Linked DNA regions of Macaca mulatta. The protein of the gene in region 1 purifies or fractionates together with the protein of each later gene. This does not show direct contact. Links are inferred from orthologs where the notes say so. Each region holds a gene or a part of one and is shown on either strand. Other genes may lie near its edges.

Evidence for each region. The genes of interacting proteins can lie anywhere in the genome.
Region 2: the proteins of MED21 (region 1) and RPAP2 purify together in Homo sapiens (affinity purification with mass spectrometry; 3 studies listed by BioGRID and IntAct, with this or other methods). This does not show direct contact. The link is inferred for Macaca mulatta from reciprocal best matches to the Homo sapiens genes MED21 and RPAP2.
Region 3: the proteins of MED21 (region 1) and POLR2D purify together in Homo sapiens (affinity purification with mass spectrometry; 4 studies listed by BioGRID and IntAct, with this or other methods). This does not show direct contact. The link is inferred for Macaca mulatta from reciprocal best matches to the Homo sapiens genes MED21 and POLR2D.

The regions. Positions count from the first base shown.
Region 1 is NC_133416.1:29,397,846-29,405,246, reverse strand, and holds the end of MED21 (mediator of RNA polymerase II transcription subunit 21), read right to left. Parts: intron 4,025-7,401; coding exon 3,924-4,024; intron 3,088-3,923; coding exon 2,911-3,087; 3' UTR 1,613-2,910; downstream 1-1,612. UniProt on the Homo sapiens protein: Component of the Mediator complex, a coactivator involved in the regulated transcription of nearly all RNA polymerase II-dependent genes.
Region 2 is NC_133406.1:148,013,690-148,020,429, reverse strand, and holds part of RPAP2 (putative RNA polymerase II subunit B1 CTD phosphatase RPAP2), read left to right. Parts: intron 1-1,211; coding exon of another isoform or gene 1,212-1,326; intron 1,327-3,679; coding exon of another isoform or gene 3,680-3,710; coding exon 3,711-3,778; intron 3,779-3,962; coding exon 3,963-4,028; intron 4,029-6,740.
Region 3 is NC_133417.1:9,421,019-9,427,758, reverse strand, and holds part of POLR2D (DNA-directed RNA polymerase II subunit RPB4), read right to left. Parts: intron 3,981-6,740; coding exon 3,800-3,980; intron 1,555-3,799; coding exon 1,459-1,554; intron 1-1,458. UniProt on the Homo sapiens protein: Core component of RNA polymerase II (Pol II), a DNA-dependent RNA polymerase which synthesizes mRNA precursors and many functional non-coding RNAs using the four ribonucleoside triphosphates as substrates.

The DNA of each region.
Region 1 (7,401 bases):
AAAAAAAATCATTGGCAGGGGGTACTATTCTTGAAAAGCTCTAATGGCTATTATCACAGGTCAGGAGTGATAAAGGATACGCCCATTGAAATTGGCTTCTGGCCAGGGGCAGTGCCTCATGGCTGTAATCCCAGCACTTTGGGAGGCCGAGGTGGGTGGATCACCTGAGGTCGGGAGTTAGAGACCAGCCTGATAAATATGGAGAAACCTCGTCTCTACTAAAAATACAAAATTAGCCAGGCATGGTGGTGCATGCCTATAATCCCAGGTTATTTGGGAGGCTGAGGCAGGAGAATTGCTTGAACCCGGGAAGCGGAGGTTGCGGGAAGCCAAGATTGTGCCATTGCACTCCAGCCTGGGCAACAAGAGTGAAACTCCATCTCAAAAAAAGAAATTGGCTCCTTAAATTCAATGGAGATGATGGGAGTTAGGATGTAGTTAAAGCACAAGCGGAAAGATTTAACATCCAGAAACAAAGAGTTTGGTTACCATATCCGGCAGCAGAGCAAAACGGTAATCAAAATGGTTTCACCCACAAAAATCTTTAGGGTTAACTGACAGTGGTGCCTAGAACTGAAACAGAGAAGTAGGATATTAAACTTTTATTAATTTACATATGAAAAAAGCAAACTGTAGGTCGTGAATAAATTTCTATCTTTAATTACAAGCCACAGCTTCTTATCTAGTTTTTAGATTTAAATCAGCTTAGATCATTGACATTTAATTATTGCTTTATTAATGAAATAAAATAAAATTTAGGTTTACTATTGTTTTATTCTGTTTCTTGTTCCTGGGTTACCTGAATCTTTTTTAGTATTCTACCTTAATGTACTGATGCTTTTGAAAATAATCTGTGTAGGTTTTTAGGGAAAAAATCTGTGTTGCTCTAGGGATGATACAAATACTTAATTTCTTATAGTCTACTGTATAGTATCAATATCTTGAGGTCAGGAGTTTGACATTAGCCTGGGCAACAGAGTGAGACCCCATCTCTTAAAAAAAAAAAAAAAGAAAGAAAGAAAAAAATTAGCTGGACATGGTAGTACATGCCTGTAGTCCCAGTTAGTGAAGAGGCTGAAGTGGGTGAATCACCTGAACCTAGGTTGAAGCTGCAGTGAGTCATGATCACAGCACTGCACTTCAGCTTGGGTGACAGAGAATTCAACTTAAAAAAACAAACCTGTATATGCTCTACAGAGAATCACATAAAACAATGTTAATTTTTTTCTTTCAATTAACAAATGTAATTTTTAAAACCTCAAGAGAAGTCTGTTATATTTACCCTACACATTGTGCCTTCTTTATTCCCGCCATTCTAAGTTTCCTTCTGCTATAATTTCCCTTCTAGAAAGAAGGGAAATCTTTTTAGCAGCTGTTTTTTTAGAATTTTTTTTAGAAAAAAACTTCCCTTGACAATTCTTTTAGAGCAGGTTTACTAGTGATAAATCCTGTTAGTTCTCCTTCATTTGAAAAATATCTTGACCTTTTCTTTTTATTTGTACCTTTTTGACTCCTTTATAACACTTAGGTACTTTGAAAAAGTTTTCTGATCAAATCTTCTCTCCCCCCAAAACTATAATGAAGAGTACAGATTTATGCCAAATGTCTGTGATAGCAAAGTGTTTTTAATAAACATCAATGAAAATACACATAGTTAAAAGTTCAAAAAATTTCTATGACTAGCCAATAAATTGCTGCAACTTTTACAGTTAATGCTGGTGTTCCTGAAATTTGAAACATAGTACTTTTCAAGAACTGTGGACAAGTTTGATTACCACAAAAATAACAGGCAGAGTGTTCTATTGTTTTTTTTCCTCCTGAAACTTAAACTCTGAATAGCAACAGATTGCAGCAAATGTAGCTCAGGATATTCTGAAAAATACAGCCCCAGGAGATGGCCAGTTAAAATGTGGACCACATTTCAATTCCACCTTTCCAGTAGAGATAATCAGTAGACTCAAAGAGATCCAAGGGTTGGATGAGTAACCATAGTTGAAAATGCTGACACAAAGTATTATTTGGCAATAATAAACTGAGGTGAAATGGTGCCAAGTAACTGATGTAGTGGAAGTTATGTTCTGGTCTGACTAGAATACAGCAATAAAAGTTGAGAGGTTAATAAGCGTAAAAGACAGAACCTTCAGATAAATGAAGAGAATGAGAAAGAATTGATTCAAAAAACATACTTCATTGTGATGACAAGCAAATTAAGGAGAAGGATGAAAAAAAGCAAGGTGAAAAGAAATAGGAAAAATAGTTCAGGCTGTAGAAAAATTTTTTCACAACAGCAAGGAAATTCTCTTGACACAGAAATTTCTTGGTAAAATAAACATGGAGATGAACTAGAACAGGTATGAGGTTCTGGAAGAAGAAATATTTGCATAAATGTGACTTTCTTATCCAGCCACACTAACTCTATTTCTTAAGAGCAATACAATTTCCAAAACTTTCTTGTTCAAAGCTCAGATTTACACAATGCCACTTCTAAGAGGCAGGACACTAGCCTAAACTAAAATGTTCCTTATGTCTGTTCTTACTGTCTTCTCCTCTGGCTTGAGAGATGTTTTGATTTGCAAAAGTACTGGCCAATACAACAAAATAAAGACATAAATTAAGTCATAATAGAATTTTACATGTTTCCTTATATTATGTTCATTAATGCATTACCTGCCGCAATAATTTCACTCAGTTAAAAAATGAGTATGATGGTTTAAAGCTGGTTCAGTCATGATTTTATAAGCTTATTTATCAAGAGTGAAAATAGAAGACTATTAAAAATAGCTAAAAAGGTAACGTGTCATAGTGTTTAATGTTTCTGTAATTGTTGATAAGGCTTGTATCTAAGTCTGATGCAGAATTATTAATGGCACTCAAATAGTTCTTTTCTCAGCCACATAGTATCCACTGGTGCTATGAATCTGGAAGAGACTGGCTATGGCTACCACTTCTTGTCTTCAGTTGTGACTGTGCAATATCAGCAAGTGCGCTTTGTATCTTTTCCAGAAGCATGTCTCCTCGATAAACAACATCCTCCAGACATGTAGCAGCTTCATGGTTTTCTTCTTCTAGCTTATATAAGCTAGCAGCCTTTGTAAAACACAAATTTTAAAATCTTTAGAGTTTAGAAGGAGAGAAGCTGTCGCAGATGTACTTATTTTTAAATCTGGATGACTTTGCAATCATTGTGATATATTTTTCAGTAAAAAAATTCTAAAAATCAGATAACTTTTAAGAATTTTCCCCATGTGAATTATTAAAAAGAATGACTCTTCAATTAGAGATCTCTAGATATCTGTAACTCCCTTCCACACTACGTTTGGACACCATTATTCTACTCCACATCTAGAATGCCACCCTCCTCTCATTCTTCACTAGGAAAAGAGACAAAATTGAGGAAAATAAGAGGTTTTCTTATCAGGGAAAATTGAATATTATCACAAAAGGTACTACGATTTGAATGTGTCCCCTCCAAAATTCATACATTAAAATCTAATCCCCAATGTGATGGTACTAAGAGGGGGAGGGGCCTTTAAGAGGATATTAAGTCATGAAGGCAGAGCTCTCATAGATGGAATTAGTACCCTTAAAATATGGCTTGAGGTTGAAGAGGGAGCTCTTGCTCTTCTGCCCTTCTGCCTTCAGCCATGTGAGGAAACAGGAAGAAGGTCCTCAACATGGTCCTAAACATGGTACCATGTTTAATAAAAATTCATTACTCATGCACAATGAGTAATAAATGCCTTGATCTTGGACTTCCCAGACTCCAGAACTGTGAGAAAATTAATTTTTGTTCTTTATAAATTACTGTCTCAGGTATGTTGTTATAGCAGCACAAATGGACACAGACAAAAGGTATTAAATCTACCTCCTTTAATTCAAAATTCTCTATTACTGGTAAAATTCTCAAAGGAATAGAGGCTTACCTGTAAAGCAGCTGTAGATTCTTCACTGGGTAAGGAATCTATCAAAACATCAATGTCTTTTGCGGTTCGGGCAATCAGTGCTGCAAAAAGCTGGGCATACTCTAGAGATAAAGATACTGCTAGATTAGGATATTAGAAAACCTCAAGTTTTCAGAAACAAATTTTAAGTTCATGAAACCAGAAACTTCATATAGCTTTTTCTGTCCTAAGATTCTAATGATTCGGCCAGGCATGGTGGCTCACACCTGTAATCCCGGGACTTTGGAAGGCCAAGGTGGGCAGATCACAAGGTCAGGAGTTTGAGACCAGCCTGACCAACATGGTGAAATCCCTTCTCTACTAAAAATACAAAAATTAACCAGGCGTGGTGGCATGTGCCTGTAATCCCAGCTACTCAGGAGGCTGAGGCAGGAGAATCCCTTGAACCTGGGAGGAAAAAGTTGCAGTGAGCCAAGACTGCATCACTGCACTCCAGCCTGGGTGACAAAGCGAAACTCCATCTCAAAAAAAAGATTCTAATGAGTCTAATGATTAAATATGCACCAATCCTGTTATACATTTAGCTCAAATTGGGAATTAAGCATAATGTATGTCATTTCATTTATCATGACAATATAGTGGTCACTTGAATAAAGAAATTTATAGGGGGGTGGAGCAAGATGGCCGAATAGGAACAGCTCCAGTCTCCAACTCCCAGCGCGAGCGACACAGAAGACCCGTGATTTCTGCATTTTCAACTGAGGTACTGGGTTCATCTCACTGGGGAGTGCCGGACGATCGGTGCTGGTCAGCTGCTGCAGCCCGACCAGCAAGAGCTGAAGCAGGGCGAGGCATTGCCTCACCTGGGAAGCGCAAGGGGGAAGGGAATCCCTTTTCCTAGCCAGGGGAACTGAGACACACAACACCTGGAAAATCGGGTAACTCCCACCCCAATACTGCGCTTTAAGCAAACAGGCACACCAGAAGATCATATCCCACACCTGGCCCGGAGGGTCCCACACCCACGGAGCCTCCCTCATTGCTAGCACAGCAGTCTGTGATCTACCGGCAAGGCAGCAGCCAGGCTGGGGGAGGGGCGCCCGCCATTGCTGAGGCTTAAGTAGGTAAACAAAGCTGCTGGGAAGCTCGAACTAGGTGGAGCTCACAGCAGCTCAAGGAAACCTGCCTGTCTCTGTAGACTCCGCCTCTGGGGACAGGGCAATAACAAACGCAGCCGAAACCTCTGCAGACGCAAACGACTCTGTCTGACAGCTTTGAAGAGAGCAGTGGATCTCCCAACACGGAGGTTGAGATCTGAGAAGGGACAGACTCCCTGCTTAAGTGGGTCCCTGAACCCTGAGTAGCCTAACTGGGAGACATCCCCCACTAGGGGCAGTCTGACACCCCATACCTCACAGGGTGGAGTACACCCCTGAGAGGAAGCTTCCAAAGCAAGAATCAGACAGGTAGACTCGCTGTTCAGAAATATTCTATCTTCTGCAGCTTCTGCTGCTGATACCCAGGCAAACAGGGTCTGGAGTGGACCTCAAGCAATCTCCAACAGACCTACAGCTGAGGGTCCTGACTGTTAGAATGAAAACTATCAAACAGGAAGGACACCTACACCAAAACCCCATCAGTACATCACCATCATCAAAGACCAGAGGCAGATAAAACCACAAAGATGGGGAAAAAGCAGGGCAGAAAAGCTGGAAATTCAAAAAATAAGAGCGCATCTCCCCCGGCAAAGGAGCGCAGGTCATCGCCAGCAATGGATCAAAGCTGGACGGAGAATGACTTTGACGAGATGAGAGAAGAAGGCTTCAGTCCATCAAATTTCTCAGAGCTAAAGGAGGAATTACGTACCCAGCGCAAAGAAACTAAAAATCTTGAAAAAAAAGTGGAAGAATTGATGGCTAGAGTAATTAATGCAGAGAAGGTCATAAACGAAATGAAAGAGATGAAAACCATGACACAAGAAATACGTGACAAATGCACAAGCTTCAGTAACCGACTCGATCAACTGGAAGAAAGAGTATCTGCGATTGAGGATCAAATGAATGAAATGAAGCGAGAAGAGAAATCAAAAGAAAAAAGAAGAAAAAGAAATGAACAAAGCCTGCAAGAAGTATGGGATTATGTAAAAAGACCAAATCTACATCTGATTGGGGTGCCTGAAACTGAGGGGGAAAATGGAACCAACTTGGAAAACACTCTTCAGGATATCATCCAGGAGAACTTCCCCAACCTAGTAGGGCAGGCCAACATTCAAATCCAGGAAATACAGAGAACGCCACAAAGATACTCCTCGAGAAGAGCAACTCCAAGACACATCATTGCCAGATTCACCAAAGTTGAAATGAAGGAAAAAATCTTAAGGGCAGCCAGAGAGAAAGGTCGGGTTACCCACAAAGGGAAGCCCATCAGACTAACAGCAGATCTCTCGGCAGAAACTCTCCAAGCCAGAAGAGAGTGGGGGCCAATATTCAACATTCTAAAAGAAAAGAATTTTAAACCCAGAATTTCATATCCAGCCAAACTAAGTTTCATAAGTGAAGGAGAAATAAAATCCTTTACAGATAAGCAAATGCTTAGAGATTTTGTCACCACTAGGCCTGCCTTACAAGAGACCCTGAAGGAAGCACTAAACATGGAAAGAACAACCGGTACCAGCCATTGCAAAAACATGCCAAAATGTAAAGACCATCGAGGCTAGGAAGAAACTGCATCAACTAACGAGCAAAATAACCAGTTAATACCATAATGGCAGGATCAAGTTCACACATAACAATCTTAACCTTAAATGTAAATGGACTAAATGCTCCAATTAAAAGACACAGACTGGCAAACTGGATAAAGAGTCAAGACCCATCAGTCTGCTGTATTCAGGAGACCCATCTCACACGCAGAGACATACATAGGCTCAAAATAAAGGGATGGAGGAAGATTTACCAAGCAAATGGAGAACAAAAAAAAGCGGGGTTTGCAATACTAGTCTCTGATAAAACAGACTTTAAACCATCAAAGATCAAAAGAGACAAAGAAGGCCATTACATAATGGTAAAGGGATCAATTCAACAGGAAGAGCTAACTATCCTAAATATATATGCACCCAATACAGGAGCACCCAGATTCATCAAGCAAGTCCTTAGAGACTTACAAAGAGACTTAGACTCCCATACAATAATAATGGGAGACTTCAACACTCCACCGTCAACATTAGACAGATCAACGAGACAGAAAGTTAACAAGGATATCCAGGAATTGAACTCATCTCTGCAGCAAGCAGACCTAATAGACATCTATAGAACTCTCCACCCCAAATCAACAGAATATACATTCTTCTCAGCACCACATTGTACTTACTCCAAAATTGACCACGTAATTGGAAGTAAAGCACTCCTCAGCAAATGTACAAGAACAGAAATTATAACAATCTCTCAGACCACAGTGCAATCAAACTAGAACTCAGGACTAAGAAACTCAATCAAAACCGCTC
Region 2 (6,740 bases), on another chromosome or scaffold:
TTTCTCTGTCACTCCAAGAAACCTTTTCTGTTCTTTGTTACATCAAGTCCAGATTTTCATCAAAAAGCTGTCCTGGCCGGGCATGGTGGCTCACATCTGTAATCCCAGCACTTTGGGAGGCCGAGGCGGGTGGATTACGAGGTCAGGAGATCGAGACCATCCTGGCTAACACGATGAAACCCCATCTCTACTAAAAATACAAAAAATTAGCCGGGCATGGTGGCGGGCGTCTGTGGTCCCAGCTACTCGGTAGGCTGAGGCAGGAGAATGGCGTGAACCCGGGAGGTGGAGCTTGCGGTGAGCTGAGATCGCGCCACTGCACTCCAGCCTGGGCAACAGAGTGAGACTCTGTCTCAAAAAAAGAAAAAAGCTGTCTTGTACTAGTTCTGGTTCTCAAAAGGCAAGATATTACCACATATCACACAAAGTTTTAGAAGAGGAATAGAATGTGAAGGGTATTAAAAGTATATGTAGCTATGATTTTCATTTTGTGAAGACTTATTAATCTTATATTGACTTTGGTCTTAATTTACTCATTCTTTCAAAAATTATTTACTGAGTATAAGATATACCAGACCTGTGTTAGGCTCTGAAGATATGGTGAACAGAATAGACACAATTCTTGTCTAGTGGAACAGAGGAATAAATAATAGTTAATTAACATAAACACATAATTACAAATTGTGATAAGCACTATGAAGGAAAAGGCTGTGATGTTACGAGAAAGAATAATCAAGTCTAATTTAGTTGGAAGTGGGTGGCAAGGAGGTTAGTTGTGAGTTTTCAGGGAAAGCCTTATGCTGAGACCTGCATGCTAAGTAGACATTAACCAGACAAAGAGTATATAAAGATTTCTGTATGTGCAGTGCAAAAAGTAGCTTGTTTCCTTTTTGAAAAGTATTGGATCAAAAGTAACAGCATTAGAAAATAGAAATTTGGCCGGATATGGTGGCTTATGCTGGTGATCCCAGCACTTTGGGAGGCTGAGGTGGGAGTATTACTTGAAGCCAGGAGCTTGAGACCCGTCTAAGCAGCATAGTGAGACCTTGTCTTTACAACTAAAAATAAATAAATATTTTTATTCAAAAAAATTTTTAAATATGTTTAAATTTAAGTGGCAAAATAGTGAGTTAGGTTAGTGTTGTATTTTAAAAAATGGAATATTGGACATGAAGCTTATAAGTAGATTAACTTTCTCTTTCAAATTTTAGGAAAGCAGAACTAGAAGCAGCTGTGAGAAAGAAGATTGAATTTGAAAGAAAAGCTCTACATATTGTTGAACAGCTTTTAGAAGAGAATATTACAGAAGAGTTCCTAATGGAGTGTGTATGTGTTAAGTTGACAAATTATTAGTTTTGTAGTATAACATCTTTAAATCTGTGCAACATGAAACTTCTTTGCATTATTAAAATCTTTGAATTTGTTCTCAGTCATTAGATGCAGATAACAATCTATATAATTCATGCATTTTAAAATAAACAACTATCATGCATTCCTTGTATAATGACTTTAAAATGCACTAATGAAAAATAACAAGTACATAACAAGGTGATGACAGGTAATGTATATTTCAAAATTAATAAGAGTGGATTTCAAATATTCTCACCATAAAGGATAAATATGTGAGGTGATGGATATGTTAATTAGCCTGATTTGGTCAACATATACATGTGTTAAAACATCACATACTACCCCACAAATATATACAATTATTATTGTCAATTAAAAAGCAAAAAGAGGCCAGGCACAATGGTTCATGCCTGTAATCCCAGCACTTTGGGAGGCCAAGGTGGTTGGATCACTTGAGGTCAGGAGTTTGGGACCAGCCTAGCCAACATGGTGGAACCCTGTTTCTACTAAAAATACAAAATTAGGCAGGTGTGGCTCATGCCTGTAATCCCAGCTGCTCGGGAGGCTGAGGCATGAGAATCACCTGAACTCAGGAGGCAGAGGTTGCAGTGAGCTGAGATCACGCCACTGCACTCCAGCCTGGGCAACAAGAGCTAGAACCTGTCTCAAAACAAATAAATAATAAATGGAAAAAAAGAAAAATGAGGATGAGGGAGAAAAAAAAAAAGAAAAAGCAAGTATATTTTGCCCTTAGTCGTAGTTCTTTTAACCAGTCTGCTAATATCACTTGATTTTCTTCAGTTTGTTCTATGATTGCAATTCCAGTTTTCTATATTCTGTGTTGTATTATTTTAAGTAACAGAAGAATATTATTTTTGTCAATGTAATTTCATCAATTTTCATATTTCAAAAACCTGAAATACAGATCATTTATGACTATAAAACAGGAGAATTAAGTTCCACATTAATTTTTTTTTTTTTTTTGAGATGGAATCTGTTGCCCAGTCTGGAGTGCAGTGGTGCAGTCTCGGCTCTGCAAGCTCTGCCTCCCAGGTTCATGCCGTTCTCCTACTTCAGCCTCCCGAGTAGCTGGACCTACAGGAACCCACCATCAGGCCCGGCTAATTTTTTTGTATTTTTGGTAGAGATGGAGTTTCACCGTGTTAGCCAGGATGGTCTCGATCTCCTGATCTCGTGATCCGTCCGCCTCGGCCTCCCAGAGTGCTGGGCTTACAGGCGTGAGCCACCACACCCGGCGCACATTAAATTTTTTTAGGCCAAGCAGGATGGCTCATACCTGTAATCCCAGCACTTTGGGAAGCCAAGGCAGTAGGATTGCTTGAGCCCAGGAGTTTGAGACCAGTCTGGAAAACACAGTGAGACCCTGTCTAAATAAAAATTTGAGAATAAAAAAATTTTTAAACAGCTTCACTACATTAAAATTTTGAATGGAAATTTCTTTTATATTCTCGTAATCCTTAAGAGAGCAAATGAAAACTCAAAGCTTCTATTACAAAAACACTTCTTAGTATAGTCCATAGATCTTTTTCTACAACAGGAATATGAACATGACAAGTCATATTTTTATTGACACAGGTAACTGCATCAGTATCTGCATATATGATGACACCAGAAAAGACAAAAGCAAATATGCTTCATTTGAAACATAAAACTTATATCACTCTCAATAAAAAGTATTTCAGTCCCTGTGAAAACAGAAAAATTTGTTAAAAGATCTCAAAGTTAAGAACAAGAATCAAGATTATTTGAACATGAAGATGTCAAAGGAAACTATTTGATGTTAGCTTATAACCATCACCTCACCACTGTACAGATTTTTCAGAAGTGGGAAAATTTTGCACAGACTGTTCAGGAGTCACAATGACACTTTTGAAATACATTGTTGTTAAAGATTATGCTTTAAAAAATAGGTAAAATTATATTTTATTACTTTGTTATTTAATTTTTTAAATGTTTTTTTAAAAATAAAAGATACTGTTGTCATTTAGCTTGTGTATAGCTATAGCATCACTTCTTCCTCATGCCTCAGAATTATTTCACTTAACTATATAATCTACAAAGATGCAGAGACTACTGTGGCAGACTTTTTTTTAATAACTTTTTTTCGAATGCTTACTATATGTTGAGCACTTCTCTAAGTGATTTTGCTTTATTTTCTCCTCTAATTCTAACCTCTAACTTATCTAACTTATGAGGGAGGTACTATTGCTATCCCTGTGTTTTCAGGTAAGATCGATGAGGCTTACAGAGCTGATAAATGAACTTTTCTATTAAACTAGGAGGAAATAACCCTCTCATTTCATTTTAGGGGAAGTTCATTACACCTGCTCACTACAGCGATGTCGTGGATGAACGTTCTATTGTCAAACTCTGTGGTTATCCTTTATGTCAGAAGAAGCTGGGAATTGTAAGTAACTCATTTTTTTTCTTATTTTCAGTTAGCAAAATACTTTGTTGTAAGAATAAGAAATGAAACCTAAGGTCATGAACTAAAGGCATGGATTGGCCAATGATATGATATGTAGATTTGTAACATAAGTTTCATGTTTATTATTTGGATTCTTTTGTAAGCTGTACTTTCTTTTCTTTAGGTACCAAAACAGAAATATAAAATTTCTACCAAGACCAATAAAGTCTATGATATTACTGAAAGAAAGGTGAGTTTAAAGGCTTTCATCGTCGCAATTAATTGTTTTTCTTTACTAACCACTATCCTAACAAGGAATGGCAATTAATTTTTGATGATATTAAATAGGATTCTAAAAGAAACTGTTTAAAATCTTACTGGTTAGAAAATAGTGGTGTTAAAAGTTTGGTTTTATTTGTAAATATTTCAGTCAAGGTATTAAAAATTGTTTTGCTTAAGCTTCAATTAAGACTTTAACATTTAAAAGTTAAAAGTGCATAGTGGCACAAATCTAGGCAAATAAATCATGGAACAGAATAGAGAGTCAGTAACAGACTAAACACATATGTAGACACTTGATATATGACAGCAGGAGTATTGTAGATCAGTAGAGAAAGGATGGATTTTTCAATAAATTATACTGGCACAATTAGTTATGCAAATAGAAAAAAAATGAAAATTGATGCCTATCTCAGTCTGTACACACAGATCAATTTTAGGTAGATTAAAGACATAAATGTAAAAGGTAGATTCTTTTTGAAGACACTATGGGAGAGGCCGGGCATGGTGGCTCACACCTGTAATCCTAGCACTTTGGGAGGCCAAGGTGGGCAGATTACCTGAGCTCAAGGAGTTGGAGGCCAGCCTGGGCAATGGCGAAACCCTGTCTCTACAAAGTAAAGTACAAAAATCAGCCAAATGTGGTGGTACGCATCTGTAGTCCCAGCTACTTAGGAAGCTGAGACACATGAATCGCTTGAACCTGGGAGGCAGAGGTTACAGTGAGCCAAGATCATGCCACTGCGCTCCAGCCTGGGCAACAGAGCGAGGCACTGTCTTCAAAAAAAAAAAAGACAATAGGCCGGTGCCGTGGCTCAAGCCTGTAATCCCAGCACTTTGGGAGGCTGAGGCGGGCGGATCATGAGGTCAGGAGATCGAGACCATCCTGGGTAACATGGTGAAACCCCATCTGTACTAAAAAATACAAAAAATTAGCCAGGCGTGGTGGTGGGCTCCTGTAGTCCCAGCTACTCCGGAGGCTGAGGCAGGAGAATGGCATGAGCCTGGGAGGCAGAGCTTGCAGTGAGCCGAGATCGCACCACTGCACTCCGGCCTGGGCGACAGAGCGAGACTTCATCTCAAAAAAAAAAAGAAGAAAGAAAAAAAATATGGGAAGATATAAACTTGGGGTAGAGAGACTTTATAAAATAAGATGGAAAATTTTAGGCCAAAGAGGAGAAACTGATAAACATTTCTATATTAAAATGTTAAATTTTTGTTCATCAGAAGTTTCAAAAAAAAGAATGAAAAGAGAAGCCACAAAGCAGAATGTTGTTATTTCATGTAACTGACCATAGAATCATATCTAGAATATATGATCTATAAGAAAAAGACACACAAACTAATAGAAAAATTTACACAAGGAACTTGAATGGCTAATAAACATATGAAAAGATGCTCAATATTATCAGTAATCAGAGAAATAGCAAATAAAAGCACATTGAGTTATGTTTTCACAGCCCACAAAATGGCCAATATTAGGAAATCTTTTTGCAACTAGTGGGAATCAAAATTGGTGCAACCTTTTTGAGAAATGGTTTGGCACTTGTCTGGTGAAGTCTTTGCACATTCTTTGTAATTAAGCCTTTCTATTCCTTGGTATAAACCCTAATAAAATTATTACACATGTGCACCAGCATGTATATATAAAAATGTTTATAGCTGGATAAACAATGTGGTATATACACACAATGGAATATTAGCCTTAAAAAAAGGAAAGAAATTCTGACACATGCTACAAGGTGGATGAACCTTGAAAATAATATGCTAAGTGAAATAAGCCAGCACAAAAGGACAAATACTATATGCTTTCACTTACATGAGGTACCTAGAGAAGTCAAATTACTAGAGACAGAAAGTAGAATGATCATTAAGAGAGGTGGGAATGGGAAGTTAGTGTATAGGGTTTCAGTTTTGTAAGATAAAAAGAGTTCTAAAGATGAATGGTGGTAATAGTTACACAACAGTGTGAAGGCACTTAATGCCACTGTGCTGACTTAAAAATGGTTATGATGATAAATTTTATATGATGTATATTTTACCACAATTTTAAACATTTTTTAATTGCAAAAAAGGTTTATAGTAACATTGTAGTGATAGCAAAAAAATTGAAAACAACTCAATTGTCTATAAATGGTAAAGTGTAATACACTAATACAATGGAATGTAGTACACAGTGAAAATTTATAAGCTACAACTACTTGAATGAATCTTAAAAACATAATTTTAAACAAAAGAAGTAGCAAGGTACGGTGGCTCACACCTATAATTCTAGCACTTTGGGAGGCCAGGGAGAGAAGATTGAGACCAGCCTGGGCAACAAATCGAGACCCCATCTCCACAAAAAAATAAAACAGCCGAGTGTGGTGGCATGCCTGTAGTCCAAGCTACTCAAGAGGCTGAGACTGGAGGATTGTTTGAGCCCACGAGTTTGAGGCTACAGTGAATCAGACCCTGTCCCTAAAAAAAAAAAAAAATTTAATAAGTGAATGAAGTAAGATAAGAATGTATAACAGTATTATTCCATTCAAAAAAATGTTTAAAAATAGGAAAAACTGAATATTTTTAATAGGGTTATGTACACAGTGCTAAAACTGAAGGGAAATGAGGAAATGATTAACATCAAATATATGATAGTGCTTACTTCTGGGGAACGTGGAGGGCAATGCAGTTGGGAAGGCAC
Region 3 (6,740 bases), on another chromosome or scaffold:
CACCATTGGCCAGGCTGGTCTTCAACTCCTGACTTCAGGTGATCCTCCTGCCTCAGCCTCCCAAACGGCTAGGATTACAGGCATGAGCCACCACACCCAGCCCTGCATTTTTCACTTACTGTCTTCATGTTTTCTAATGGTATCAACCTCCCAAAGTGCTGGGATGACAGGAGTGAGTCACCACACCTGGCCAGAGTTCTTTTTTTTTGAGATGGAGTGTCGCTCTGTTGCCAAGCTAGAGTGCAGTGGCGCAATCTTGGCTCACTGCAACCTCCACCTCCTGGGTTCAAGTGATTCCCCTACCTCAGCCTCCCAAGTAGCAGGGACGACAGGCACATACCGCCATGCCCAGCTAATTTTGTATTTTAGTAGAGATGGAGTCACATCATGTTGGCCAGGATGGTCTCGACCTCCTAACCTTGGGATCCACCTGCCTTGGCCTCTCAAAGTGCTGGGATTACAGGCATGAGCCACTGCACCCGGCCCAGAGTTCTTTAATAAGCAGGAAAGTGGATGGCTGTGTTACTTTCCTAGACCAATACCTTCCCTCCTTCCCCAGAAATAACCACCATCCTCAATTTAGTATTTATCATTGCCATACCTTTTTTTAAAAATTTGTTTTGCCATACATATTTTATACTTACTACACATTTATGGATACGTAAGTAATATGCAGCACAGTTTCAGACTTTATAAGAAATGGCACCACACTGTGTTTATCCTTCTGCCATTTTTCCTCAGAATTCATTCTGACATGTTGATATTCCACGTGGTTCTAGTTCACTGACTGTTTTCACTGCCGTACAATAAACATTGTGTGACTATACAACGATTCATTTATCCACTTTCTTATTGACTAAGAGATGATCAAATTTCTGCTATCATTAGCAGTGCAGCATGAGGCCGGGCACTGAGGCTCATGCCTGTAATCCCAGCACCTTGGGAGGTCAAAGTGGGCAGATCACTTGAGGCCGGAAGTTTGAGACCAGCCTGGCCAACATGGTGAAACCCCATGTCTACTAAAAACAAAAGCAGAAACAAAACAGTGCAGCAATGAACACTAGAATATACGTCTCCTTGTAAACTTGTGTGAGTTACCTTTGAGATATGTATCAGGAATGGATATTTGGAACATGGAGTATATTCATCTTTACCAGACACAGCCAAATTGCTCTCCAAAATGACTGTTGTAATTAACACTCACACCCCTACCATCAGCGTACGGAAGTTCCAGCTGTTTCAGATTTTTGCTCTCACTTGGTGTGGTATAAAACCATCATTCTCACACACTGTTAATAAGCAGGAAACGTGCTTTGAAATATTGAACAAAAAAGGCACTTTCATTTAATATTGGCAATCATGTATCCAAATATATAATGCATACACATTTTAGACACACCAATTCTATTTGTAGGAATTTATCCAGTATACAGAGAACTTATCACAACTGGTACTAACCTTGGGATTAGAGCCTTGGACTCCTCAGCAGTCTCTGGGCAAAGGTTGGCCAAACAGGCCAACTCAAACTTGTGAAGCTTTTTCTGGAGTAGCAAGCTAATCAAAAGGAAAAAAAAAAAAATCAAAACAAAAAAATCAAAAACAAAGAAACAACAAAAATCAAAAGAATAATCAACAGGAAAAAAGGGATCAAATGTAGCCAGTATTTAAATATAGCTAGACGGCCAGGTGTCATGGCTCGCATCTCTAATTCTAGCACTCTGAGAGGCCAAGGTGGGCTACACTTGACGTGAGGAGTTCTAGACCAGCCTGAGCACCACGGCAAAACCCCGTCTCTACTAAAAATACAAAAATTGGCCAGGCTCAGTGGCTCATGCCTGTAATCCCAGCACTTTGGAAGGCCGAGGCGGGCAGATCACCAGCCTGGCCTGGCCAACACAGTGAAACCTCATCTCTACTAAAAATACAAAAATTAGCTGGGTGCAGTGGTGGGCACCGGTAAACCCAGCTTACTCAGGAGGCTGAGGCAAGATCACTTGAACCCGGGAGGCAGAGGTCGCAGTGAGCCAAGATCACGCCACTGCACCCTAGCCTGGGTGACAGAACTAGACTCCATCTCAAAAAAAAAAAAAATCAGCCGGGTGTGGTGGTATATGTCTGTAGTCTCAGCTACATGGGAGGCTGGGGCATGAGAACTGCTTTAACCTGGGAGGCAGAGGTAGAAGTGAGCCAAGATTGCACCACTCCAATCTGAGTGATGAAGTGAGACTGTCTCAAATCAAAATGAAACAAAACAAAAAAAAGGTAGAGGAGGTCGGGCTTAGCAGCTCATGCCTGTAACCCTAGCACTTTGGGAGGAGGCCAAGGCAGGAGGATCACTCGAGTCCAGAAGTTCAAGACATCTCAGCCTGGGCAACATAGTGAGACCCTGTCTCTAAAATAAATGAATAAATACAGAAAATAAAAATAGCTAGGGGAGAAGACTTGAACTGTTCCTAATACATAGAAATGATCAACACCCTAAACACCCTAACATACTCATTACACATTCTAAGTAACAAAATATCACGTGTACCTCACACATATGTACAAATACTGTTATCAAAAAAAATTATATATATACACATATATATATATAGGCTGGACATGGTGGCTTACTTCTAATTCAAGTGCTTTTTTTTTTTTTTGAGATCGAGTCTTTTTTTTTTTTAAGATGGAGTCTCACTCTGCCACCCAGGCTGGAGTGCAGTGGCACGATCTTGGCTCACTGCTACCTCCACCTCCCAGGTTCAAGCAATTATCCTTTCTCAGGCTCCCAAGTAGCTGGGACTACAGGTGTGCGCTACCACGCCCAGCTAATTTTTGTATTTTTAGTACAGACGAGATTTCACCATTTTGGTCAGGCTGGTCTCGAATTCCTGACCTCAAGTGATCTGCCCATCTCGGTCTCCCAAAGTGCTGGAATTACAGGCGTGAGTCACCGCACCCGGCCAATCCCAGCATTTTGGGGGGCTAAGGTGGGAGATCAATTGAGGCCAGGAGTTTGAGACCAGCCTAGGCAACACAGTAAGTCTCCCCATCGCTACAAAAAAATAACGAAAAAACCTTACTTCCCCACTAACAGTACCATTTGGATCACACATACTGGACTTATATAAAATACGACAGAGTCATATTTGAATCTGTTCCCAGACTGGAGTAAAGTGGTACAATCACAGTTCACTAAAGCCTAACCTCCCGGGCTCACATGATCCTCCCACTTCAGCCTCCCAAGTAACTAGGACCACAGGTACCTGCCACTACACCTGGCTAATTTTTGTATTTTTTTTGTAGGGACAGGAGTTTCACCATGTTGCCCATGCTGGTCTTGAACTTCTGGCCTCAAGAGACTGGTCCACCTCAGCCCCGCAAAGTGTGGATTATAGGTGTAAGCCACCACACTTGGCTGAAATTTTGGTCTTCTAAGTTACCCAGGCTGGAGTTCAGTGGCGCAATCTCGGCTCACTGCAACCTTGGCCTGCAGGTTCAAGCGATTCTCCCACCTCAGCCTCCTGAGTAGCTGGGATTCATGGTGTATACCATCACACCCAGCTAATTTTTGCATTTTTAGTAGAGACAGGTTTTTGCTATGTTGACCAGGCTGGTCTTGAACATCTGGCCTCAAGTGATCTGCTGCCTCAATGTCCCAAAGTGCTAGGAGCATAGGTGTGAGCCGCCATGCCCAGCCCAACATTATTTTACTTAAATTCACAGGTGACACCTGGGAAAGGGGGAGGGGACAGCAGTCCACATGCAGTTGTCCAACGGTTTGGATTAATAAAAACTTTCTTTTAGCACTCACCTACGAACACTGGCAATGGTCTCTCTGTTTTTGAAACGACTGAAACGGGCTGTGTAGTTTAATGTTTTCATGAAGACTTCTGAGAGTTCCTGTTCATCCTCTGCACTCTCATTCTGTTGCTTTCGATGTTCCAGAAGCATATGAACTTCTGAATTTAGAAGTGTCTCAGCTGTTTCAAACTCTATTTGTGAGAAGCATAAATGGCAGCTGAAAATACTCCTTCAAAAGTTTGCTTCTAAATGTTCATTGTGCATCTGAATGCACAATGATCTCCCTGCAGAGATCCAGGGGTTTCCTACCCCACATCTACTTTTTTTCGAACTGTTATTTTAGGTTCAGGGTACATGTGCAGGTCTGTAATACAGGGGAAATGGGTGTTGTGAGGGTTTGGTGAACAGACCATTTTGTCATCCAAGTGATAAGCATAGTACTGACAGGTAGTTTTTCAATCCGCACCATCCACCCCCTCAACTAGGCCTCAGTGTCTGTTGTTCCCTTCTGTTCATATGTATTCAAGGTTTAACTCCCACTTATAAGAATGTGAGGTACTTGGTTTTTTGTTCCTGTGTTAATTGCTTAAGTGAATGCCTCCAGCTCCATCCATGTTGCTACAAAAGACATGATTTCGTTCTTTTATTTTTTTTTTGGAAACAGGGTCTCAATCTGTCACCCAGGCTGGAGTGTAGTGGCATGAATACAGTTCACACTAGCCTTGACCTCCCTGAGCTCAGGTGACCCCCCACCCCCACCCCAGCCTGCCAGGTAGCTGGACTGCAGGCACGCACCACCACGCCCTGTATGATTTTGGTAGAGACGGGGGTTTCGCCGTGCTGCCAAGGCTGGGATCTCGTTCTTTTTTATGGCTGCAGCTACTCACATCTTTACATTCACCCACAGTTACATATCACAAGGCAAAGTGGAGTTCACGAGACACTAACATTTAGCTTGTCTGAACTAGATTCTGACACCAAAAACCTGACCTAGACATGCTACTAAGTAGTGACACATATAGCCTAGTTACTGATTTCAAGAGTACACTGACAATTACTGCCCTCTAGCCTGCATCAGCTCATCATCTTCCTACTTCGATAATGCTAGTATTATACTCTCAATTTTAAGAATTGTTACGTGTTAAAAAGAGCCAAATGTCTAGAAATAAACATTAATAATGTACCCCCAAATCTATTTTTGTACCCACACAAATGTTATAAGCAATTTTTAAGAATTAGGTTTGAGAGAAAAAGAAACCCATGGCCCCTTTTCATAATATATGGCTACCTTCTACACTTCTAGAATAGTTCTGTTAAAAAATGCTGTTACCCCTTGGGAAAATCACTCTCTCCCTTATGTTCCTGCAGGATCTTATGTTCCTGATGTTTATCTCAAAATATTAGAGATCGTTTTTATCTGTCCTTCTCTTAACAGTGAATTCCCCTAGAGCAGGAACCATTCATAAACACGAATTCATGTTTATAATCCCTCACCGAAAAGGAAGCAACAGTGAGGAAAAGCCAGAATGACTTGCAATTTCACATTTACACGTGCTATAGGTCTGTTTATTATCGGGGAAATCACTAACACCTCCCTCAGAGTAACGCCTTCCCAATTCTCAAGCCGGGTAACTGACAAGAGCCTCATTCTCCTTTCACAACACAGACAGTTTAAGTGGTAGGTCAGGAGGAAAGTCTATTTTTATTTGAAAGGTACTCATTGCTACTGAATATAATAGGCTACCAATACAGCTGGAGCACTATTGAAATAAAATTAAAATCTAAATAAAAAAAATAGGTAACCAAAAGCTATTTTCTACCTGAGGGCAGGAGAGTTTAAACAAAAACCTCAGAACACCTTTTTCTGTCTTCCAGCCTATAACAGGGGATGTACTACAGTGAGTGCCTATTTGTATACCAGGAACTTTACTTCTTTTAATCTTTAACACTGAGGCACTGTAGGTACAGAAGAAACTACTGCCTCACAGCAATGAGTAGAGGAAAAGGCATTATATATCAGGACTGCAGGACCTCCAAACTCTGAAGCGACAGTAACAAATGACATCAGGCCAAAACAAAAAAGGGAAGAAGTAGCTAATCAGTTACAAATCGGTGTGTTGGAACTTTGATGCTTTTACAGGTCCTGGAAAAATCAATGTTAAGAGATGCATCCCAGGCTGGGCGCCGTGGCTCATGCCTGTAATCCCAGCACTTTGGGAGGCCAAGTCAGGTGAATCACCTAAAGTCAGGAGTTCGAGACCAGCCTAACATGGTGAAACCCCATCTCTACTAATACAAAAATTAGTCGGGCATGGTGGCACATGCCTGTAATCCCAGCTACTCAGGCTGAGGCAGGAGAATCGCTTGAACCCAGGAGGTGGAGGTTGCGGTGAGCCGAGATTGTGCCACTGCACTCCAGCCTAGGCAACAAGAGTGAAACACTCTGTCTCAAAAAAACAAAACAAAACAAAACAGATGCCTCCCTTTCTGCACTAAACCAAAATTACTTGTTAAATGGAAAGGAATGGAACTTTTAGGCCACCAGGAAACTAGTCAACTGTCCCTATTTCTCATTAAGAACAATATTCAAGTACTACTAATACATTACCCTCACTCCCTTCAACCAAGGAAGGTCAAGGCAGCCAAACTGTAACTCAGAGGGCCTAGGAAAGGGGTGTCTGAGACCTACCACAGAGCTTTTGGGAGGCATTCCCAGGATTCGCCATCAACAAAATGGGGATGGGGGAGGCAGTTCAGACACTTTTGTATAACTACAGAGAGGAGGAATCCAAGACTTCTCCCCATGGCTAATTCCAATAAACATTTTCAAGTGAAAGCATACACACACACACACAAAATTTATTTGGAAACAAAAGGAAATAGATCAGGGGATCTGCATGTTATTCTCTTGTGCAAATATTTTAAGAACAATGGCCATGGGCCGGGCGCGG